Sus scrofa: one gene and its partners. The protein of the gene in region 3 interacts with the protein of the main gene of each other region in a pairwise test. Links are inferred from orthologs where the notes say so. Each region holds a gene or a part of one and is shown on either strand. Other genes may lie near its edges.

Region 1 (4,140 bases), on a different chromosome or scaffold from region 3:
TTTACTTCATCTTAATACACTTACACACTTTCATTTTCACTATTTTTTCCATTATGCTGGTTCATCATATTTTGTGTCTGATAGAGACTAGGTCTCACTTCAAGAATTCAGGTGATACTTATTCCATTATTGACCCTGCTCATACTGCATATAAACACTGGATGGGAAATGACATTCTTGACCATCAAAATCAATCAGAAAATCATTCTTATATGGGAACATTTCCCATTAATAATCTGCTCACGTTTTAAGACCAGCTCCAAAAATACTTCTGCCATGAAGCTTTTCCCTAGTTTCCAGTTGCTAACTTCTCAGTACTACCATAGCAATAGGCTAGCTCCTCTCGCCATAGCCTTCCTATCAAACATATCATAAGGTTTTTCTTAACCAGCCTGCCTCTCAAACTAAACCATAAACCCCTCTTGGGCAACAACTAGCGCTTATCCATCCATTTTGGTATCCCCAGTACCTAGTACAGTGCCTGGTGCCTAGCAGACATTCAAAAAAAGGATTGTTGAACTAACAGAGAAAAAATCATCAACGAGATAACCAAAAAAAAAAAAAAAAAAAAAGTCAACTTTTAAAACACCTTGGCTTTTTACCTACGACCCTAGAAAACGCCTGCAGAGCTAAGTTAAAGCACAAATTAGGGCCAGAAGTTTAATAAAGAAATCGCCACCTGAAGACTTTTTCAATTATGTGCTGAGAAGTGCCAGTGTATGGTTCTCGATGCAATGCTATTCAGAGACAGAGGAAAGGACAAGGCTTCTTGTAATCTCTTCTAACCCTAGACCCCAGAATTGCCAGTGAAAGATAATTCTGGAGAGACCAGGTACCCTAGAGGAAGCTCACCTTCCCGTTCGTGGGAGGCTCCTGGATGTAAATGTTGCTCATGTTGGTCAGTGCTCAGGACGCTGTTCCTAATTGGGGATAAAAGCGAACGGTGAGTCACTAAAGCAGTCCACGTATCGGTACACGCTTCCTTAAATCTGGAGGTCGCGAAAAGCTCCAGTCTGTCAGTATCCCGCAAGGCAGCGGCACAGGTCCTATCTTTTTCTAAAGACAGCCGCTCCCGGACGCCGCCATGTTGCTCCCGGACCCGAGCACCGCTAATCCTGAGAAGGGGGCTTCCGATGGCCTCTAGGGAATCAATAAAATATTATTAAGCCTCCGTGGATTAATTTAACTTGTATTAAAATTTAAAAAATAAAAATTTGTAAGTCTTTGGGTTGTTTACTTTACTACACGCGTGTGTAGATCTCATTAACTACCCCTAAACTGGCAGTAATGGTTTGGACCGTGTGTGGTCTACAATACAATTCCTCCGGAAACTGCATCAGTAGCTTCTTGGTTCCTCTATCGCCGCAGGCTTTTAGGGCCTTACCCGACTGTCATCTGGCTACCGCGACGCGAGTAGAAGGAAGCGGCGGCCGTCATTGTACGTTGTCCCCGCAGCCAGCGGTAAGCGAGCGCGCTCTCGAAAGCCTAGGGGTCCTGCAACCCCAATTCCCCGCGCCATGGCAGTTCCAGGTAAAGACCAAACGTAGAGCCCCTGGGTCTGGGCGAGGGAGGGAGCTGGTAGGGTAGGTAGATTGGGGGGCGCTGGCATAAGTAGTAGCGCCTTAGGGCGGAGGCGTTAAAATTAACATTGTCGTTTGGCTTACTTGGAGAAGTTTACAGTCCAAAAATAAACTCTAAAGGAAAGAAAGAAAGAAAGGAATTGTTTCCCCGCCCCAGCCTAGCACTGGATGGACTACGGGGAACTGTATACAGGGCGGAGCGGGGGAAGGGGTGCGCGGGGAGGCGGGTGGAGACGGACTAGTTAGTAACTGTAGGCCTAGGAAGCTGTTAGCCGAGAAAAACTGACTTTAACTTTAATAAGGCTTGAAAATAAAATTTGAGGAGGCAACACTTGGCGGATCCAAGTAGGCATTGTTTGTTGTGAAAGTCGCTGGGCCGAAATGGGTCTCTGCGGTTCTACTTCTTTCTTCCTGTTTTTTGTAGTTGCGTTGTGGCCCTGGACCCGATGCTTTGCCTTTCCGGGTCTCAGTTTTTGTATCAGTAAAAGGAGATTTGTTGATATATGTATATGGGTCCTTACAGTTCTCAGATTCCATGACCAGGGGGTGTCAACCGAAAAACAATGAACCCTGTGAAATAAGTGCTTCAGAGTTTTCCCGTTCACAACTACTAGCTTACTTGGAAGTTCTGGTAGCGGAGGGCATCTCTTTAAACCTACTTTGCCAAGGTGGGTTCTGCAGAGCACTGGTTGCAGGAGATACTTTGAAAAATAAACGCTATCCCCACCCCCACCCCCACCCACCCACCGCTCATACAACTTGGAGATTCATGATGCACTGTAGTATAGCAAAGACATTGAGAATTGCTATGGTTCAGAAACTCTAACTTTGTTGTAACCTGCCCTTCCCAGTATTATTGGACCATGTTTATTCTGTGGAGGCCTGTGCTGAACTGTATTTTACTGTATGGGGAAGTTGTGAAGTTCTACCAACTTAAGTTTTGGTTGGGGGGGCGGGGGGTTGCAGTATTTTAGGAGAGGAAAGGTACATACATTCATACACATAATAACTTTTATTAAAGCTGTATTGTGTGGTAGGATACTAGGCACCAGGAACACAGCTGCCCTTCACACAGAGCTTACAGTCGAGCAGTGAGAAGAAAGTACTAGAAAGTTAGACAAACGCATTGCAGTGAAAACACAAAGCCCTGAGGAGCATGTAATAAGGGCACCTAACAGGAGACTGGAGGGACCAGAAGAACTTTGCCAAGGATGAGGCATTTAGGATGAGACCTGAAGAATTGTGGGAGGGGAACTTGTACCCAGAGGGACTGAATATGTAAAGGAAGAAGAAATGTGTGAGAAGAGGAAATGAAATGAAAGATGTGCCCTGTGGATGGAACTCAGAATACAAATGGGAGAGAATTGAGAAATTAACTAGAGAGATAACAACAGTAGCCAATATTTACCAAGCATTTACTGTGTGTCAGATTTGTCAAACACTGTGTCAAGCCTTGTATTTGATCTCATGAAACATTCACGCCCACACTGTTAGGTAGACAATATTTCTTCCATTCCACTGGCAGGATACTGAAGGACATAGAAATCAAGTAACTTGATTGAGATAGCTAGTAAGGGCAGGTCAGTCTGGCTCCTCTAGACCTTGTGTGCTTATCCATTTTGCCATGTTCTTGTTTAATTTACAAGGCAATTCTTAAGGATGTTTTAAGCCCTAACAAGGAACTTGGATGTTTTCCTAAGGACCATAGAAAGCTATTTAAGAATTTTTAAACACACATTTTGGAAAGAGCATTCTGGCTGCACACTAGATTGGATGAGAGCTAGTTTGGAGGCAGAGTCACCAGTTAGCAATAACTCTGGTAAGTTATGATGATTGATGCCTCAGGAATGGTCTCAGTAGAAAAGGAGAAAAGCAAATAGATTAGAGATGTGTTTCTGGTGATAGAATCACTGGGAATCAGTGATTGATTCACCATAGGTGGTAAGATTTGAAATGGACCTGGGTTTCACTGTTAGGTGGTTGGGTGGGTCCATTCACTAATATAAGCAACACCTGAGAAGGAACAGTTTTTAAGGGGATGATGAATTTAGTTGGGGATTATGTCACCATGTAGACTTGGAATGGCAATGTCTAATAGTAAGAGATAGGAATGGAGATATCCAGTAGGCAGTAGAGAGATACAATGTGTAGCTTAGGAAGAAAGCCAGAGCTGAAGACATTAATTTGTTGTCATCCACATATGTGATAGGAGGTAAGGTCATGGAAATGAAAGCCTTTGCTCAGGTGGAATGCATAGAGTGTGAAGGGAAGGTCTGTGATTGGAGCCTGGAGAATATCAACATGTAATGGGCCAGCAGATAAAGTCCAGCCTGCACAATAGATTTTACCTAGGTATCATGATGGGCCAAGTTAGCCCCAGTGATCCCACAGCTCCATCCAAAGGTGTCCTGCTGTTGCTGTTGCTTTCATCATTAGACCAAGTGTTTTGAGCACCCACATAGTATAGGCACGCTGGGGGACACAATGCCACAGCCTTGGATCCTCATAAAACTTAAGTCTAGTAATGAAAATGGAATGTGCTTCTTAAGAAAGAGGACAA
Region 2 (3,500 bases), on a different chromosome or scaffold from region 3:
ATTCAGTATTTCCACACATCTCAGTTCAGACCAGCCTCATTTCAAAATGCCTGTGGCCACACGGGGCTGGCTGGTGGCTACTATATTGGGCAGTGTAACTCTAGGGTTTTTCTCTCTCTCCTGGAAGACACTCTCTATTCCTTTCTTAACAGTGTGTTCTTTGGGAGTTCCCTGGTAGCTCAGCAGGTTCAGGATCTGGCATTGTCACAGCTGTGGCTCGAATCACTGCTCTGCCACGTGAACTTTTGCATGCTGGCCTGGGAACTTCTGCATGCTGTAGGTGGTGCAGCCAAAAAAAAAAAAAAAAAAAAAAAGGAAGGAAGGAAGAAAGAAAATGCATTGTTCTTAAGGGTCTCGTAAAAAGATTTTTGTGTATTTCTTCTGTGTCTTGCATGATATCAAGCACTTGCCATGAGGTCACAGGCTCCATTGTCTCTTGTTCTGGAGTTAGTTTCCTTCTGTGTGGCTCCTGAGTAACCATCCTAATGATGGGAAGACAGCGACAGAGACCAGGGCTGGGAATTGGGGAAAGAGGAAAGTTTACATCACTCTTCTTGGGGAAAGAATGTTCTTTTCTCTAAGACCTTGCTCCAAAAAAAAAAAAAAAAAATTTAGATCTAATTAAGGAGTGATCATTGACAGAATGAGGCTTTGGTTTAGGGATGGGAGGTCAGGAAGAGAGAGCAATGCTGTTAGAAAGAAAGATAATGCGATAGGAGAAAATGAAACAAAAATAGCAAGGCTGCAGTCCATGAAAAGTGGAGAGATGTACGCATGTACATACAATCCCCTTAATATATATACATATATAGACTGTTTTAAGTGCAGTTTGCCTTCTTCCTTCATTGCTACCATGAGGAATTATATTCCTTTAATTCATGTACAATCATTGGCTGGTGATAAAAGAAAAGAAGATGAGGACTCCAAACTTTCATGTGTTATTTTGCTCTTTCAACATGAGAACACATGAGATGGGTCTATAAGTAGATGTGTATGGGACCTCAGGAACTGCTAAAAAAAAATGAGTGCTGAACCTCAGACCCTGGTACTTAGCCCTTTAAAGGCAGTCATGAAGAAAGCCATTTGAATGCTGAACTTTGGACAGTCTGGTTCTTGTATCAGTGAGAGCTGGAATCAACGTCTTAGAGCAGCTGGAGCGCCGTCCGGGTTCGGGGAACAGTGGCTGCTTAGTTCTGCTACCTTCACAAGAGGAGGATTTGTCTCGGAAGAGTCGGGTCTCTGTCCTCCCATCACTCTTTTAAATTGGCTGAAAACAAATACCGTGTGTAAGTAGAGTAGCATTAAAAGTCGATGAAACCATACGTCCTCCCGTCTGTGATAACGATAGTCTCTATGGCCCTGACATTTGAATTTGGCTGAGGACTTTTATCCTAGAATATTATTCTGTTCATTTCTCATCATCTCTCATTTCAGCGTGGGCCAGCGAGGGGCACGCTTGAAACCATTTGAAGTGACTAAAGGGTTCAGGGGGGGTGACTTCAGAAAAATTGGCATTTCTGAGAGATGTGTTTTTCCCTCAATCTCTGTTGATGTTTGAAGTCTTCAAAGCATTGCTCTGATCAGAGAAAAACATTTCTTGTGAAATAGTTCTCTCCAAGAAGGCAGTGATTTGAGACTGGCTGGCTGTTGATTCAGATCTTCTCTTTGAGAAGCAGTTGTTTTCACAGAATGTGCTTTAGGGTGAGTCCTGGGGCTTGAAAGATTTATCTTCAGTTCAGAATACGTAAATATAAAGTTAACCTAGCTTTAAAATAAGCTTCAAAGTCAATAAAAAAAAGTAGAAGTGTTTCTTGAACTATGTTGAGGCTGTGAAGTTTCTAGTCCCCAGTGCTGATCAGCGACCCTGTCTGTGATTTATAGATCCTGGCTGTAAACTGCAGCTCTTACATGATTTCATGTTACGGGAACAGGAGGAGAGGGGACCTTTTGTTTTCTCAGTCAACTGTTTTATTATTTTCAGTCTACTTTTTGCATATAAAATTGTAGCTGGATAATTATCTCAAAGTGCTGAAGGTTTGAGTTCAAAAGAAGTTGTATGATTATTTATTTATTTATTTATTTATTTTGTCTTTTTTGCCATTTCTTGGGCTGCTGCTGCGGCATATGGAGGTTCCCAGGCTAGGGGTCTAATAGGAGCTGTACACCACCAGCCTACGCCAGAGTCACAGCAACACGGGATCCAAGCTGAGTCTGCAACCTACACCACAGCTCACGGCAATGCCAGATCGTTAACCCACTGAGTAAGGCCAGGGATCGAACCTGCAACCTCATGGTTCCTAGTCGGATTCGTTAACCACTGCTCCACGACGGGAACTCCTGTATGATTATTTATTGAGCATCTCCCAAGTACTTGGCATGAGGCGGAGTGATTTTCATGAATGATCTCATTTGCTTCTTACACCAGCTCTGAGAAGACTCTCATCCTCATCTCCATTATACACAGGTGGAAACTGAGCTGAAAAAGGTGGAGTGGTTTGGTGGTTTGGGTCTTAGGACAAGAATCAGCCTCTGGATGCAGTCTTACTGCCTTTACTTTCATCGTCTTCTTTTTGAAAAAGCATAGACTCCTCTAACAAAGCAGCCTCCTTCCAGTCCTGTCTGAGGGAAGATCAAGAAAAATGCATCCCACGGATAATCACAGGGAATTCTCCTGGAGTCTTGACTCCAGATGTTTTCCTGATGCAACAAACAAATGGCCTCGCTCAGTGGGTTAAGGATCCGGTGTTGCCGCAAGCTGTGGCATAGGTCACAGATGAGGTTTGGGTCTGGCATTGCTATGGCTGTGGCATAGGCTGGCAGCTGTAGCTCTGATTCGATCCCTAGCATGGGAATTTCCATATGCTGTAGGTGTGGCCCTAAAAGAAAAAAAAATTCTTGTTATGTGTGCATATTTTAAGTCACTTGGGAAAGCCCAATCTTGTTCATGCCTTACTAATAAATGATTAATTTATTTTGTTTGCTTGCATTTTCAGATTGAAGAATTTCGAAGGCTGAGAACACACGTGAAGGGGGCAGAGCTTGTGGAAGGCTGTGATGGGATTTTGGGAGACAACTTTAGACCCACTCAGCCACTCAGCGACAGAGTCATTAGAGCTGCATTTCAATAGCCAACGACAGTGGACCCGGTGTGTCTCCATCCGGGTATGTGTGGATTAAGTAAGGAAAATGAGGCACACGGCTAAGCTTGTCACACCAAAGCCACACTGATGATCCTAATAACTTAGCAATATGAGGACCACACTTCATTATTTTATTTTATTTATTTTATTTTATTTTATTCTTGTTTGAAGGCTTCACACGAGACATATGGAGGTTCCCAGGCGAGGGGTCAAATTGGAGCTGTAGCTGCCAGCCTTTGCCACAGCTACAGCAACGAGGGATCCGAGCCCAGTCTGCAACCTGCACCACAGCTCACGGCAATGCCAGATCCTTAACCCACCCAGTGAGGCCAGGGGTCGAACCTGCATCCTCATGGATCC
Region 3 (4,180 bases):
CAACAACAACAACAAAAAGACAAAAGACAAAAAAGACAAAAAAAAAAAAAAAAAGACATTTGCCATGTTTGGGGGGGGGCAATTTTCTCTCTTCGCTAAGCTCCTTCACTTCATCCTCAAAATGAGGACGTGAGGGCTTCCTGGGGGAGGAATTCTAATGCTCCAATTCCTTTGCAGCCTGCCCTGGGACACTCAGGAGCCAGAAATGGCTCAGAAGCTCTGGGTCCTGGAGCAGGTAAGGAATTGGAGATCCAAACTAGAAGCAAGAAAGTCAACAAAAGGGTGAGGAGTAGCATTAAGTATTAATGTCTCCTGAGTACTCTTGAGTACCAGGGTATGGATGGCAGAACATTTCAGAGACGCTTGAATTCCTGGGGAATGAGAAAGCCCTAGTTCACAGCGGTTCCACCGTTGCTGTCAAACTCTGCTCCTCTGTCGGGAAGTTTTCGGGCAATTGGACTACAGATCCCATAATGCACGCAGACTTAAAAAGAGGGTCTCGCCCTGTTCAAAATCCTTTAGAGCCATATGCTAGGGACTACAACTCCCAGAAGGACACGCTCTGCACCGTGGTCCTCACCTTACAGGCAAATTATTCAAGGCCACCCCTGCATCTTCTTTTTTCTAGTCCGAGGAACACGACCCCTTATTTACCAACATCTGAGGGTCACCGGGAGCGAGTTCTCAGCCTCTCTCAAGCCTTGGCTGCTGAGGCGTCACAGTGGCACCGAATGATGACAGGTGAGAATGGGCTGGGGACCTTGGGCTCCTGGGTGTTAGGGAAGAGGGAGTCTGGAGGCCCGGAATCCTAGGTCCTGGTGGGGAGGGGGGTCCGACGACCGCCAGAAACCCTCTGCCTTGGTAAAGAAAGAGCTGGACAGGGCTTGGGGGTTCCAGACCCCAGTAGGAGGGGACTGGATCCCAGGACTGCCGTGTCTGGGGAGGAGAGGACGGGGAGCCTGGACTCCTAGGTTTGAGAGGAAAGTCCTGGGTGTCGGGACTTCTGGGTCCCAAAGTTTGCCATTCTCGTTCTCCGTCCGTCCTCTCCAGGTGGCAGTTTGGACTCTCGAGGAGACCCTCTTCCCCCTGCGTCGCCACCTCCGTCAGATCCCACGCCCTGCGTGTCCTCGCCCCCAAGATCTCCTCCAGTGGCCAGTTCCCACTCCACGGGGTTCTCCCACCGAGGGACTGGGCGCGACGCAGGCCCGGCCTCTTGGGAGCCGACCTGGGATTCCGGGACCGCCCCTCCCGCGCTAACCCCAGACGAGGAGGCGTGGCCTCTGAGAGTCACGCTGCTACAGTCCAGCTTCTGACCCGCCCAAGCAGGGCAGCCAATCAGAGCTGGAGGGCGTGTCCCGGAGGTACTTCCGGGACAGATGGAGCCTCTTCCCTCACCTGAGGGCGTGATCTGGTCCCCTCCCGGTGGCCGAGGAGTGGCTACTTTGGCCAAAGTTTGATTTTCCCAATACTTGTCCAAATTTGGATTAAAACATTGAACTCTTAGTCGATAACTTTCTGTCTGTTTGGAGTTGTGACACCGGTGTCTCGAAGAGGTAGAGCTGGAGTGGTGAACTCCTGGGTCCCGCGGGAGGAGGGGACAGCGGACTCAGCTTTGTGTGTCAGAGGAACGGGGGGAGCTCGAGGTCTGGATTACTGAGTCTGAGGGAGGAGGGGGCCGGCGACCTGGATTCCTGGGTCTGAAGGAAGAGAGGACCCGGGACCTGGACTTTGGAGTCCAAGGTCCGGCAGAGGGGGCCGGACTCCAGGAATCCCGAGTTTGAGGGTTGGGGGACCGGCCTCCTGGGTCTGAGGGAGGAGGGGGCTGGGGCCAAGTTCCAGGCTTCTGGCTTTCCTGGCAACGCCCCCGGGGCCGGGCTTCAGGATCCAGCCCCTATTTATGGTTCGACCCCAAGACCTCACCGGACTTCAGAGGGGGATAGAAGCCTCGAGTGAGTGTGAGTGAGTGGCCGAAGGAGACCTTCTGACGCGGGATGGCAACGGGAACGCGCTATGCCGGGAAGGTGGTAATCGTGACGGGGGGCGGGCGCGGCATCGGAGCTGGGATCGTCCGAGCCTTCGGTGAGTGGGGTCTGGTCGGCTCTGAACAGTGGAGTCTGGGAGCGGAGGGACCCGGGGGCTAATGGGTGTGGGACGAAGTATCTTCTGTACTGGAATCTAGATTCTTGTCTCGTAAAATCCAATTTGCAAAGTTAACGAAGGGAAGGCAGAGGTGGCCTGGGGCCTGAGATTGCGGCGGATTTTCAAATGCCATTGACTCCCTTTCTCTGGGTCTCAGCTATTGCTACAGAATGGGGGGCCGGGGGTGGTGGTTGAAGGAATATGTCTTTTGGAGGTTTAGGGTTTACTCTAGAACCCAGGGATGGAGACTCAGGAGCCCCAGAAGTCACCTGGAATAGCCAAGGAGAAGGCTAGGCTTCTGCCTTTTGCCCTACGGGATCATCATGAGACTTTGGGGTCACGAGGGGAACAGAGCTGGGGCGGTGGTGGGGGGGGAACGGCCCTGTTCCGGGTGGCCACAGAGGGCAGCAGAGATCTTCACCAAGGTCTCTGCAGGGCTAACCTATTCCCTGTCTATTCGCAGTGGAAAGTGGCGCCCAGGTGGTGATCTGTGACAAAGACGGTGAGTGAGGGTCCCCCAGTCCTCAGCCCACTGCCTCCTCCCTTAGATTCAAGAAGAATACAGGCCCCAGCACCCTCCTCCCTCAGACCCAGGATCCAGCCCCAGCCCTCCTCCCTCAGACCCAGGATCCTGGGCCCCCAGCCCCTCCTCTCTGAGACCCAGGCTCCAGCCCCCAGCCCTTCTCTTCCTGCAGAGTCCACTGGTCGGACCCTGGAGCAGGAGCTGCCTGGGTCTGTCTTTGTCCTCTGTGACGTGACTCAAGAGGATGATGTGAAGGTGAGCGCGTAGTTTCTGTCCCTCCCCGTCCCCCTCAATCTCCAATCGTTCTCTCTCTCCCTTCACCCCGGGCTTTGCACATGCTATTCCCTCTACCCTTCCCCATCTCCTGGCTAAATGACACCTGCCCCCAGAGTCTCAGCTCAGTTTCATCGCAAAGCTTTCCTAACTCGGCTGGCCACGTCCTGTGTCTGCCGAGAAGATTCTCCTCTATCTCCCAGGCCTTCAAGGCCCCTGGTCCCTCCTGTCACATGATCTGGATCCAGTAAGAGTTCTCCTTCTCCCAGGGTTTCTCCCCTTCCCTTCATCTGCTCCCCCATCCCCCACCCTCCTGGGTCTCTGGAGTAGTGAGCTCAGGGTGTGTGTCACCAGCCCTCTGGTCTCTGGCACCCTGGCGTCCAGTCTCCTCATCTCCTGCCATGCCTGGCGATTTGGGGTCGGCCCCCACAATGTCCTGTCCCCTCCGCGGTGACTCCGCTTCTGCCACGTCTCACTTGGGGGAGCCCAGCAGGGGCGCCAATGCTGTTCACTCACAAGACAGCTTTCTCCTCAGACCCTCTTTCTGAGACCATCCGCCGCTTCGGCCGCCTGGACTGTGTGGTCAACAACGCCGGCTCCCGTGAGTTGTCAACCCGCTTCCCGGGCTCTGTCCCATTGCTGCTCTGTGTCCCCAGGCCTGTGCCGCCACCTCTTTATGCCTCAGTTTCTACATTTCTAAAATGACAATGACCACCACTGTCCTTGCCATTACAGGGTGTTGAGAGTATTAAATAGTGTAACTGGGCGGAGTTCCCGTCATGGTGCAGAGGAAATGAACCTGACTAGGAACCATGAGGTTGCGGGTTCAGTCCCTGGCCTTGCTCAGTGGGTTAAGGATCTGGCTGTGAGCTGTGGTGCAGATACGGCTCGGATCCCGTATTGCTGTGGCTGTGATGTAGGCCAGAGGCTGTAGCTCCGATTCGACCCCTAGCCTGGGAACCTCCATATGCCACGAGTGCGGCCCTAAAAAAAAAAAAAATTGTGTCACTGCTCAGCCCCCTAATCACCCTAACTGTCTTGGGCAGACAGCGTCCATCTTGCAGCCTCCGTTTTGGTTTGGTTTGGTTTGGTTTTGGCCATGGCATGCAGAAGTTCCAGGGTCAGGGATTGAATCTGCGCCACAGCAGCAATAATGCCAGGTCCTTAGTCTGCTGAGCCACCAGGGAACTCCAACCTCAGTTTCTTTAAAGTGAGGCGGATGGCTCTTTTTTTCTGTGACTGTGA
Region 4 (2,595 bases), on a different chromosome or scaffold from region 3:
GCTTTTGCCCGCCTTGTGCCCTGACACAGGGCCCCTACTGGAGCTGCCCAGCATCAGGACGGTCGAGACCGCCTCCTCCCCACAGCAGCTGGCAGTGCCAGGGCTAGCTCCCCAGCATGGAGCAGGGAGCAGGATTGCCTGGGGCCTGTGGGGGTGGAGCCTGTCACCACGCAATGTGTACCGTGAAGGTGCCCTAGCAGCAGCACTGTGGCCACATCCCTCGGAGCACCATCTGGCTAGCCCTGGCTTCCTGGTCTCCTGGAGGTTCCAAGGCACCCCTCTTCTGTTCTTTTTTTTCTCTCTTTTGTTGTCTTTTGAGGGCTGTACCCGCAGCATAGGGAGGTTCCTAGGCGAGGGGTCAAACCGGAGCTGCAGCCACTGGCCTACACCACAGCCACTGCAACACCAGATCTGAGCCGCCTGTGACTTAGGCCACAGCTCACGGCAACGCTGGATCCTTAACCCACTGAGCGAGGCCAGGGATCAAACCTGCATCCTCACGCATGCATACTAGTCAGATTCATTTCTGCTGTGCCACCACGGGAGCTCCTCCTCTGTGACCTTTAGGTCCAAAGGACCAAGGAGAGTCGGTTTCTGTGGCTAATGGGAGATTGGTGCCAGGAACAGATCCTAAGGTGTGACGTAGTCAAGAAGGGACCGGAGTGTGTTCCCAGAAGGATGCTCTCAGCTGCAAGCCCGGGAGGTCCTTCTCCAGCGCCTTAAGGAGGGTTCAGGGACTCACCTGAAACGGCTCGTGGCGGGTTAGAAACAGCGAGGGTAGGAGGAGGTAGAGACGGGAGCAGTGAGATCCCAGGCAGGGTTATCGGCCAGCAGAGTGGCGGGGAGCACTGGGCAGTGAACCCAGGCTTCCCGCAGCTTCGGGAGCAGCTTGTTAAAGGAAAAGGGGTGGTTTCTCTTTTTAGCACGTTCTGCTTTTAGCACAGGGCGGTTCACGATGGAGTAAGAAACAGGGCAGATACAAGCGACGGTGTTACAGTTTAGCTGTTCCTCCAGCCTTTCTTGTCTTGCCGCTTTTTCATTTTGTACAGTTAGCACCTAAGGTGGTAGGCGGGGACTGCAACAGGTCACCAGCCCAAGGGCCTCTGTGTCCCCCCTTAGGCTCCCACACTTGCTTGAGCAACAAGGGGTGGACAGGGCAGTGCCCGGCAGAGAAGGCAGCGTCTCACCCCGTGTGCCCCTTTGTTTGGAGGGGGCTTTCTCAGGGCCCCCAGGGAATGTCCTCGCAGCCCCCTTGACTGGGCTTGAGTCATGCCCTTGTCCTCAAGCAGATCATGGCAGGCAGCAGCCAGCGACAACCAGACCACTCTGGTGTCCCCTCTGGTCTGAGAAGGTGCTCCCTCTCTGGGCCCGCCACCAGCAAGGGGACATCTGGGGGCGGGGCAACCAGAACACCCGCCCTCCGGAAAGGACCTCGGTGACATTCGGGACAGGAAGCAAGATGGCAAGGACAGGGCCTGGGAGGCACAGGGACGCGGGGAGGAGTGGCCCCTCTGACCAGGGCTCTGAGGTGGCCTGGCCCAGCCCAGCGTGTGAATGCCCACAAGCCTTCTGGGCCTTCCTCCACCCGGCCTGCACCACCCCCCGTGCTGGGGGGCTGTGTGGCGAAGGGGGGCAGAGGGGTTCCGGGTGTGGAGGCTTCGACTCCCAGTGCAGGGGCTCTCCGCAGGCCCTGCCCGGCTCCCCTGCTCTGCTGGCCCGGGCGCCCAGCCCTCCAGGGACAGCCCCTGGCCACTGAGCTCTGCCCTGTGCTGGGCTGGCCCCTCTCCCCTCCCAGGTGCTCCCCAGCCCACCCCTCATGGAGCTCCCTCTGCCAGGGCCGGGGGCCGGGCGGGGTGCCACGGGCCGTGTCCTCTGCAGTCAGGCCGGGTGATGAAGCCCAGGAAGGCCGCACCCTGCGGACCAGACATTCGGTGAGCAGGACCTGCCGTCCAGCAGGGCCGAGGGGACAGTGTGGGGGACCTGGGGGGCGAGCCGGGCTGTGGACAGCATGGAACGGGCCTTTCCTTACTGCCCCATGCAGGTCTTGGTGCGACACCTGGGGGACGGCACCGAGCTCCGTGGGCGCATCGTGGAGACGGAGGCGTACCTGGGGCCGGAGGACCAGGCTGCCCACTCGAGGGGGGGCCGGCAGACACCTCGCAACCGCGGCATGTTCATGAGGCCGGGCACCCTGTATGTGTACCTCATCTACGGCATGTACTTCTGCATGAACGTCTCCAGCCGGGGTGAGCGCAGCTGGGCGGGGGCTGGCAGGGGCACAGGGAGCACCCTCGCTGGGCCAGGCTGGGGCTCCCGGGGAACAGGGGTCACGGGGGGCGTGAGCACGGAGCCAGAGGGTCCCACGAGCCCACCGCCTGCCCAGTGCGGCCTCAGAGGGGCCGATGCCGGGGGACGCCGGGGCGAGATCACTCGGGGTGAGCTGGGCTGGGGCAGGAGCCTTGCCAGGGGGCCGGTTACAGGTCCTGCCCCCCTGGGGAATGGGAGCCCATGCCCGCAGCCATCTTTGGCCATCCCAGCTCTGGGCACACTCCACCCTGGGTGGAGGCCAGAGCGGCCGATGCAGAGAATCAGGGG
Region 5 (3,500 bases), on a different chromosome or scaffold from region 3:
TTTCATCGTGGCTGTCAGTGCTGGTCCCTAGTGGGTCATCATGAGGTCTCCGGATTCTTCCCATTGCCAGAAAGGGGACAGTTGATCCAAAGAATGGGCTCAGCGTGTAAGACTGCAAATTTAACTCTCCTTTTCTCATCTCTGAGGTGGGCATGGCCATCCCTGGAGGGGACGTGGCTGCTGCTTACGATGACGTGCAGGCTTAGGGCTGCGGTTGCACGTGGAGGCCACGGGGCCAGAGAAACCCCGCAGGGCCTCCCCTCCGCTGGGTGACTTGGGAGAGTCACCTCCTTAAATGTTTATTGCACCTGCTCTGCTAGCCAGACTCAGGAGTGAACAGGCAGGTGAGGCCCTGGCCCCATGGAGCTGCCTTCCGGGGATGGAGAAGGGAGCAGTGACCAGATGCTGAGGGCCGGTGACGAGTGCTGTGGCGGAAGCCCCATCTGCACAGTGGGGTCATTGGGACCCAGTGGAGCGGGTGCGGAGAGCGCCACGGGGGCGCTCTGAGAGTGGAGCTGGCGATGAGGGGCCTGGAGGGGGCGTTGCCCCCCCCCCGGGTCCCAGCCTTCCAGTCTGCCTGGCTCGTCACCAGTGCCCTCTTGTACCTCTCCTCCAGAGGCACCCGAATGCCCTGTCTTTTCGCTGCTCGCTGGCCGACTTCCAGATCGAGAAGAAGATCGGCCGAGGCCAGTTCAGCGAGGTGTACAAGGCCACCTGCCTGCTGGACAGGAAGACAGTGGCTCTGAAGAAGGTGCAGGTGAGCCCACCGCTCCGTGGGGGCAGAACCCCATTGGCAGCCGGCTCGTGTCTAAACACTGTACTTCTGGGCTCACCCTGTCCCTTCTCTGTCCTTCTGTCCCCCTCGCCCTCCCCGCCCCACTCTCTCCCGTTCCTCTGTAAGTGAGGGAAATTAGTACCCACTTCGCCCACTGGGCTCTGGGAGGATCAGGTGGAGTGAACCATAAAGGAGAAGAGCAGTGAGCATGCGCTGAGCACCTGCTGTATACTGGGTGGTGCCAGAGCTCCCCGAACCTTGACCGCAGTCTTCTAGGTAGGGATCACCATCCCATCCTTCAGAGGTGGTGGGTGACCCAGCAGGGCCCAAGGGAGCTAAGGGGAAGCCGAGACGCAGCTCTGCAGCCAGCTGGCCCTCTCTGGTCGGTTCTGGGCTTCTCTGGTGTTGGTTCTTAGTGCCAGGATGGGTTCTGTGGTGGGGCTGCTGCAGGGACCACCTCCTGTGTCTTAGCAGGTGCTGGGAGGACCCACGCGGAGTGAACACTAAAGGGGCTGGGGCGTCAGGGGCCGTGTACTGTACCCCCTCTTCCTACTCAGTCCACACAACCGCCCTATGAGCCCAGGCTGTTGGCCCTATTTACAGAGGTGAAGACTGAGGCTTCAAGCGTGTTTTCCTGCCTGCCACTTACCAGTGCATGACCTCAGCAAGTCACTGCACTTCTCTGGGGCCTCGCTCTCCTCCTCTGTAAGTTGGTGACCGTATCTCCTGCCTCATGGGAGGTACAGTGATGATTCGGTGAAAACCGCCCCTGGCAGGTAGTAAAAACTCAATAACCCAAATCATTGTCCTTATAGGGTTCCCTCAGCAAGGAGGTGGGAGAACCCGGACTGGGGGTGCTGGGTGCTAGGTTTTAACCACTCTTTCTCTGTTTTTTTTCTCCCCCAAGATATTTGAGATGATGGATGCCAAGGCCAGGCAGGACTGTGTCAAGGAGATCGGCCTCCTGAAGGTGAGTGGCCTGGGCCGAGTGGGAGCCCCTCACTTCCATGGGCCAGGCTGGGCCACCGCATGGCCATTACAGCCCTTAGCCCGTTAGGTAAAGAAATGACTTACTTTAGAGAGGCAGCAGCTTGTTCATTTTCTTGTGGCTGGGCGGGAACTCCCACCTTACTTCTGCCCAGTCCTCAGGGTGCCCCCAGGCTGGCTGTCCTTGTCCCACGTGCATCCTGGATGTGGATGGGAGAGCCTGGAATAGCCCTTGCCCTAAGGCAGCCAGATCACGTGGCTGCTGCAGGGGAGGCTGGGCGTTGGGTGGGACTGCAGGTTGCCTGTCTGTCTGTCTCCTTCTCTCTCTTTCTTTGCGCTCAGCCTCATTCTCTCGTACTCCCACGTGGCGGCACACACATGTGGCTATTCAGCCCCAGCGTGCTCTCTCCACCCCCATCCTCTTGCTCCCCCCCCAGGAGATGCTCTCTGCTGGGGAGACTCCCACAAAGCCTGCCTGGGGCGCTGGGCAGCATTGACAGCTAAGCCCGTGACCCCAGGTTCTGGGGGCTGGAGGGGTCCAGGATCCCGGTCCCTGAGTTGTCAGCCTTTTGGGCTCTCGCCGGGCCTCCCACAAGGAGGAGGCAGGGTGCACAGCTGGGGAGGGGTCTCCCCAAGGGGGTAGCTGATGCGCCCGCCCCTCTGCAGGCGGAAGTCCTTGGTTCAGCCAGGGCACGGCTGACGGACATGGTCCTGTGATGGTGGCGTCTGGGGCCCTTTTCCCCTCCCCTCTGGCTTCCCCGCTGGGGTCCTCAGCGTCAGAGATAACGGAACTTTCTGGATGAGACTGAGCCTGGGGCTGCTCTCCTGGCCATCGTCCCTCCTCCCCAGGCTTAGGATCCCGCCGGAGAACTAGTCGGTGACAGAGGAGGAAAATGCGTATGGGATTTGGAGGCCCCAGAGCCTGGGTTCAAACACCAGCATCCTCATTTACAGGCTGCGTGACCTTAAGCATATGCTTTAACCTCCCTGAGACTCAGTTTGCCTAGCGGCTCCATGGCGAGAATACCTGCCTCAAAAGATACAGGCAGATTGAGAAGATGAAATAAAATCGCATCTGAAGCGGGCCTGGCGCAGTAGGGCACACAGTAGGCGCTGACTTGGTGTCCTCCCCTCTTCCCACGAAACAGAGAGCTTGCTTGGTAGCTTCCTATAAAGGGGGGGCTGCTGGTGGCAGTCAGGCCTGGGCCTCTGCCTCGGGGACCCCCAGACAGAAGGGGAATAGACAGGGCAGCAGATGGTGACTGTCCACTGTGATGCCAACTGACCCGGGGACCCCAGGAAGACCCTTCAGAGGCCAGACCCCCGTCTCAGAATCCGGAAGACTGAGAGGAGCCTGCTGCAGGAACCCCGACAGTGTGGCTCGGGGACGGGTCATGGTGGCCTTGAATGCCACACTCAGGATTCAGAACTTGAACGTGGGAATTGGGGGTGAGGCTGAAGTGACCAAGAGCCAGGAGCTGGAGCCAAGGGGAAGCTGTGAGTGCTCACTGGGGTGGCCCCTGGCGGGGATGGGTCCCAGGGGCAAGGCTGGAGGCAAGAGGCTCTTAGAGAGGTGCCCACAACTCCAGCTATCACAGGTCCAAATATACCCTTCAAATCACAAATCACACTTTTTTTTTTTTTTGGCTGCACCCGTGGCAGGTGGAAGTTCCCAGGTCAGGGATCAAACCTGAGTGACAGCGCTGAGTCCTCAACCCAGTGAGCCACCAGAGAACTA
Region 6 (3,500 bases), on a different chromosome or scaffold from region 3:
GTGATGCTGTGACATATTAAAGATATGACGGTATAGTTAAAAATCAAGGGTTTTAGAGTCAAACAGATCTATATTTACATTCTGACTCTCTGATTTTCCTTGAGTAAATTGGTCAACCTGAGCTTCATCTGTCAAATAGCTGTCATGGCAATACAAGAGGAGGTATGTAAGAGTGTCAGTAACTTGTAAATGCCAATGTTGTACCGACATTAGGTGATAATCCTATTTTGTCATCAGTTGCTGAGCAGTTAGTGCCAGACATCTTAATAGATGCTTTATGTATACATTTCCAACAACCGTTCTGTAAAATAAGTATTTTCTGGTTTTTTGTTTGTTTATTTGTTTACAGATGGTGAAACCAAAGTTTAGAGAGGTTTTAACGGTCTTCCTGAAGTAAAATTAGGAATCAGACCTAGGGCTCACTCAGGCTTTTGCTTATAGCCATTGTTCTATACTGCCTCTGAGCTGGGTCACAGTGGCTGATTTTAAGGTCTCTGTTAATTTGCTTCCTTCTTCAGGAATCACATGCCATGGGGAAAAAGCCTGAAAATCCAGCAGACATGATTGAAGAAGGAGAACTTATCCTATCTGTGAATATCTTGTACCCTGTTATATTTCATAAGGTCAGTGGTAAAGCCTTTTGGACTTCACATATTATGATTGTCTTTTGTCAGAGTTGAATTATTTGAAGTTGAATTATTTGACCTTAGGGTTCAAAATAAATGCAGGCATATGCTGTCTTATCTGACATTCTGTCTGTATTCTTGGGTTCTTTGTTTTATAAGGAATATCGTAAATAAGGTTAAATTTCAAGTGATCTCTTGAGTAGTAGGATTAGAGTATTGGAATATAATATACCTGATTTCTATACTAGTAGCAACTGAAAGTATACAAATCCATAGTGATTCTGATTATATGAATTCATGAGGGTTTTTGGCAGAAAAACTGGCAAAGAAGGGGGGTATTTTTTGTTCACTAGTTCAGAATTCTTGGGAGTTATTGAACTAAGGTCAGCTCTTCTTAGATGAAATTGCAGAAAGTTAACAGGTCAGGGGTATCCAGGAATTTCTTAGGGGCCTCTAATAAAAAGAACTCTATCCCCAGCCCAGAGTGTATATATTCTTGATTCCTCAAATAGATGTATCATAAACTTTGATAAGGTTTAATTGAAATTTGCTGCACGTAAATTGTACTTATGGTTAAATAGGCTTTTATGAATCATCTGGGATATAGTTAGTACTAATTATGTTGTTTGATTATGATGTCAAATTATTAAAGAAAACAAAGGAAAACTAAACCTCTGGGTTTATAACATGAAGGTAGTGTATACATTGCTTGACCTCTAGAGGTAACTTCCAGGAGAATTATGTTCAATTATAATTTATTAAATTTATAATTTAATTATATATAACTATATTCCAAAGGCTTTTTTTTGCTGACATCACTTTAGTAGCATATTGGTTTTAAACTGTAGCTTAAACTAAAAAAGTTTTATTGCTGGGCATATTAGTCCATTCTGGCTGCTATAACAAAATAGCATGGACTAGGTGCCTTATAAACAACAGAAATTTGTTTCTCACAGTTCTGGAGACTGTAAATCTAAGATCAGAGTGGCAGCATGGTCCAGTGAGAGTCCGCTTCCAAGTCACAGACTTCTTTTTTACTAAAGCACCCTCCTGTTCATGAGGATTCTACCCTGATGACCTAATCGGTCTCAAAGGCCCTACCTGCTAACACCATCACATTGAGCCTTCAGATTCCAGCATGTGAATTTTGGGCAAACATAAGCAGTCAGACTATAGCACCAAGTGTCTCAATTGTACTCCTGGGATTTTAATTTATAGAGATTACTGATGCTAGCACTAGAGGCCACTGCCATTGAAAGAAGATTTTTATTATTTGCACTTCCTCAGGGGAGGAGGTATGCTATGCCATTGCGGGCCACAGGAGAAGCACTAGTATCAGTCTGGAAACAGAAAAGATAAAGGAAGAGACATAGGCCATTGCCCTTTGGGGGGTTTCAGCAGGAATATCAAAGCAGGGCAGAGTAAACAGTTTAGGATTGGCTGGCTTGAACAATTCCACTGGGCTCTGGGGTATAGTGCTGTCCCTAGTTGTCTGGTACCGGGCTCCAATTGATTCAGGACAGAGAAAATACTGGCTTGGTATACTAGAGTTAGAGAAAGGAGATAGTTTACAGTGGGGCTCTGAATTACAGAGGAGATGGTAAACAACTTTGGTGATTAGTTTGGCCCTAAAATTGATAGATGCTGAGTAGACTAATGGCAGAATGTAAGAAAACGCAGGACACCATGTTATGGAAATAATTTACATTAAAAAAACTTAATTTAGATCTGGTCATGACAGATCTATAGTTTAGCTGCTTTGTCTCTAAGTGAACACTGATTTATTTACTGACTTTAGCACAAAGAACACAAACCATACCAGACGATACTGGTACTGGGCAGTCAGAAGCTCACGGAACTAAGAGATGCAATTTGCTGTGTTAGTGACCTCCAGATTGGTGGGGAATTCAGCAACACTCCTGATCAAGCACCTGAACACATCAGCAAAGTAAGGTGATTTTTTTTTTCTCTAACCCCCATAAAACAAAAGGAAATAATAATAAGCTAAGGAAATAGTGATTACTCTAGCAGACTCACAGACTTTCCAGTAAATGTTTTTTTCTTGTATGCCATTCAATCATGCCGATCTCTTTTCTTTATCATCAAGACCTTTTCAAAGATTGGTCTGTAGTTGGTTTTGATTTCTTCATCTCCCATTTATTTTGCAATCATTCTTCATATACTCTTCTTTTTAGGGTCATAGGACCACCTAATTGTCTAACCAATAGGTCTCTTTTCCACGTTCATACAACTTGACCTCACTATAGTATTGAACTTGACTCTTCACTCTCTTTTCTTGAAACCCCATATGAGTTTGTCTGTCATATAACTGCTCCCAGCAAAGGGTTTGGGGTCTTCCCCGAGAGCATCAGTGCCCATAGAACAAGCTGCCAGTCCAAGGACCAAAGCAAAGGGATATAGCATCTGATGTTGGTCCTTGCTGGTGTTTCCCAGGGTTTTGCTCTTAAAAGGGCAGAGAAACCCTATATTCCCATTGGATCAGGATGGAGAGGAGCAAAACTGTGGCTACTCACAGTTTTCAGAAGGGATTGCTCACCCAATAAAATAGTAGGGCCTTGATCCTTCCGAATTTCATCATAGACCAAGCTTGACCTAATTCTTTTACTTGGCACAACTCTGACGGAAGACCTCGGCTTTATTGACATGCTGAAGAGGTGCAGCATCTCCTGCAGAAGAAGATGTTTGGAACAACTAGAATGGAGATAGAGTTTGGACCAGAACCATCACAATCTCTTTTTTTTTTTTTTGCTCTTCCTTTTAACACCAGCCAGCCAAATAAATGTTGTTATAACTTAGGTTTCATCTTAGTTCTTATTCTAAATTCTTTTCCTGGGCTTCCCCCACCCCTAGCCC

What was found.
Region 1: the proteins of HSD17B14 (region 3) and SREK1IP1 interact in binary tests that used the Homo sapiens proteins (3 or more experiments, as listed by UniProt). The two-hybrid records come from large-scale screens. The link is inferred for Sus scrofa from reciprocal best matches to the Homo sapiens genes HSD17B14 and SREK1IP1.
Region 2: the proteins of HSD17B14 (region 3) and CA8 interact in binary tests that used the Homo sapiens proteins (3 or more experiments, as listed by UniProt). The two-hybrid records come from large-scale screens. The link is inferred for Sus scrofa from reciprocal best matches to the Homo sapiens genes HSD17B14 and CA8.
Region 4: the proteins of HSD17B14 (region 3) and MPG interact in binary tests that used the Homo sapiens proteins (3 or more experiments, as listed by UniProt). The two-hybrid records come from large-scale screens. The link is inferred for Sus scrofa from reciprocal best matches to the Homo sapiens genes HSD17B14 and MPG.
Region 5: the proteins of HSD17B14 (region 3) and NEK6 interact in binary tests that used the Homo sapiens proteins (3 or more experiments, as listed by UniProt). The two-hybrid records come from large-scale screens. The link is inferred for Sus scrofa from reciprocal best matches to the Homo sapiens genes HSD17B14 and NEK6.
Region 6: the proteins of HSD17B14 (region 3) and SNAPC3 interact in binary tests that used the Homo sapiens proteins (3 or more experiments, as listed by UniProt). The two-hybrid records come from large-scale screens. The link is inferred for Sus scrofa from reciprocal best matches to the Homo sapiens genes HSD17B14 and SNAPC3.

What each region holds. Positions count from the first base shown.
Region 1 is NC_010458.4:43,343,453-43,347,592, reverse strand, and holds the start of SREK1IP1 (protein SREK1IP1), read left to right. Parts: upstream 1-1,340; 5' UTR 1,341-1,517; coding exon 1,518-1,530; intron 1,531-4,140. Other genes in the region: peptidyl-prolyl cis-trans isomerase CWC27 homolog, read right to left, coding at 853-894. UniProt on the Homo sapiens protein: Possible splicing regulator involved in the control of cellular survival.
Region 2 is NC_010446.5:73,117,367-73,120,866, forward strand, and holds part of CA8 (carbonic anhydrase-related protein), read left to right. Parts: intron 1-2,993; coding exon 2,994-3,128; 3' UTR 3,129-3,162; intron 3,163-3,500. UniProt on the Homo sapiens protein: Does not have a carbonic anhydrase catalytic activity.
Region 3 is NC_010448.4:54,141,344-54,145,523, reverse strand, and holds the start of HSD17B14 (17-beta-hydroxysteroid dehydrogenase 14), read left to right. Parts: upstream 1-1,380; 5' UTR 1,381-1,553; intron 1,554-1,913; 5' UTR 1,914-1,991; coding exon 1,992-2,079; intron 2,080-2,602; coding exon 2,603-2,641; intron 2,642-2,834; coding exon 2,835-2,917; intron 2,918-3,454; coding exon 3,455-3,536; intron 3,537-4,180. UniProt on the Homo sapiens protein: Catalyzes the NAD(+)-dependent oxidation of L-fucose, yielding L-fucono-1,5-lactone, which rapidly converts spontaneously to L-fucone-1,4-lactone. Can also act on D-arabinose and L-galactose, with lower catalytic efficiency. Does not use NADPH.
Region 4 is NC_010445.4:41,542,745-41,545,339, reverse strand, and holds part of MPG (DNA-3-methyladenine glycosylase), read left to right. Parts: intron 1-1,835; coding exon 1,836-1,931; intron 1,932-2,041; coding exon 2,042-2,246; intron 2,247-2,595. UniProt on the Homo sapiens protein: Hydrolysis of the deoxyribose N-glycosidic bond to excise 3-methyladenine, and 7-methylguanine from the damaged DNA polymer formed by alkylation lesions.
Region 5 is NC_010443.5:265,133,907-265,137,406, forward strand, and holds part of NEK6 (serine/threonine-protein kinase Nek6), read left to right. Parts: intron 1-616; coding exon 617-757; intron 758-1,682; coding exon 1,683-1,745; intron 1,746-3,500. UniProt on the Homo sapiens protein: Protein kinase which plays an important role in mitotic cell cycle progression. Required for chromosome segregation at metaphase-anaphase transition, robust mitotic spindle formation and cytokinesis.
Region 6 is NC_010443.5:207,231,921-207,235,420, reverse strand, and holds part of SNAPC3 (snRNA-activating protein complex subunit 3), read left to right. Parts: intron 1-518; coding exon 519-623; intron 624-2,424; coding exon 2,425-2,574; intron 2,575-3,500.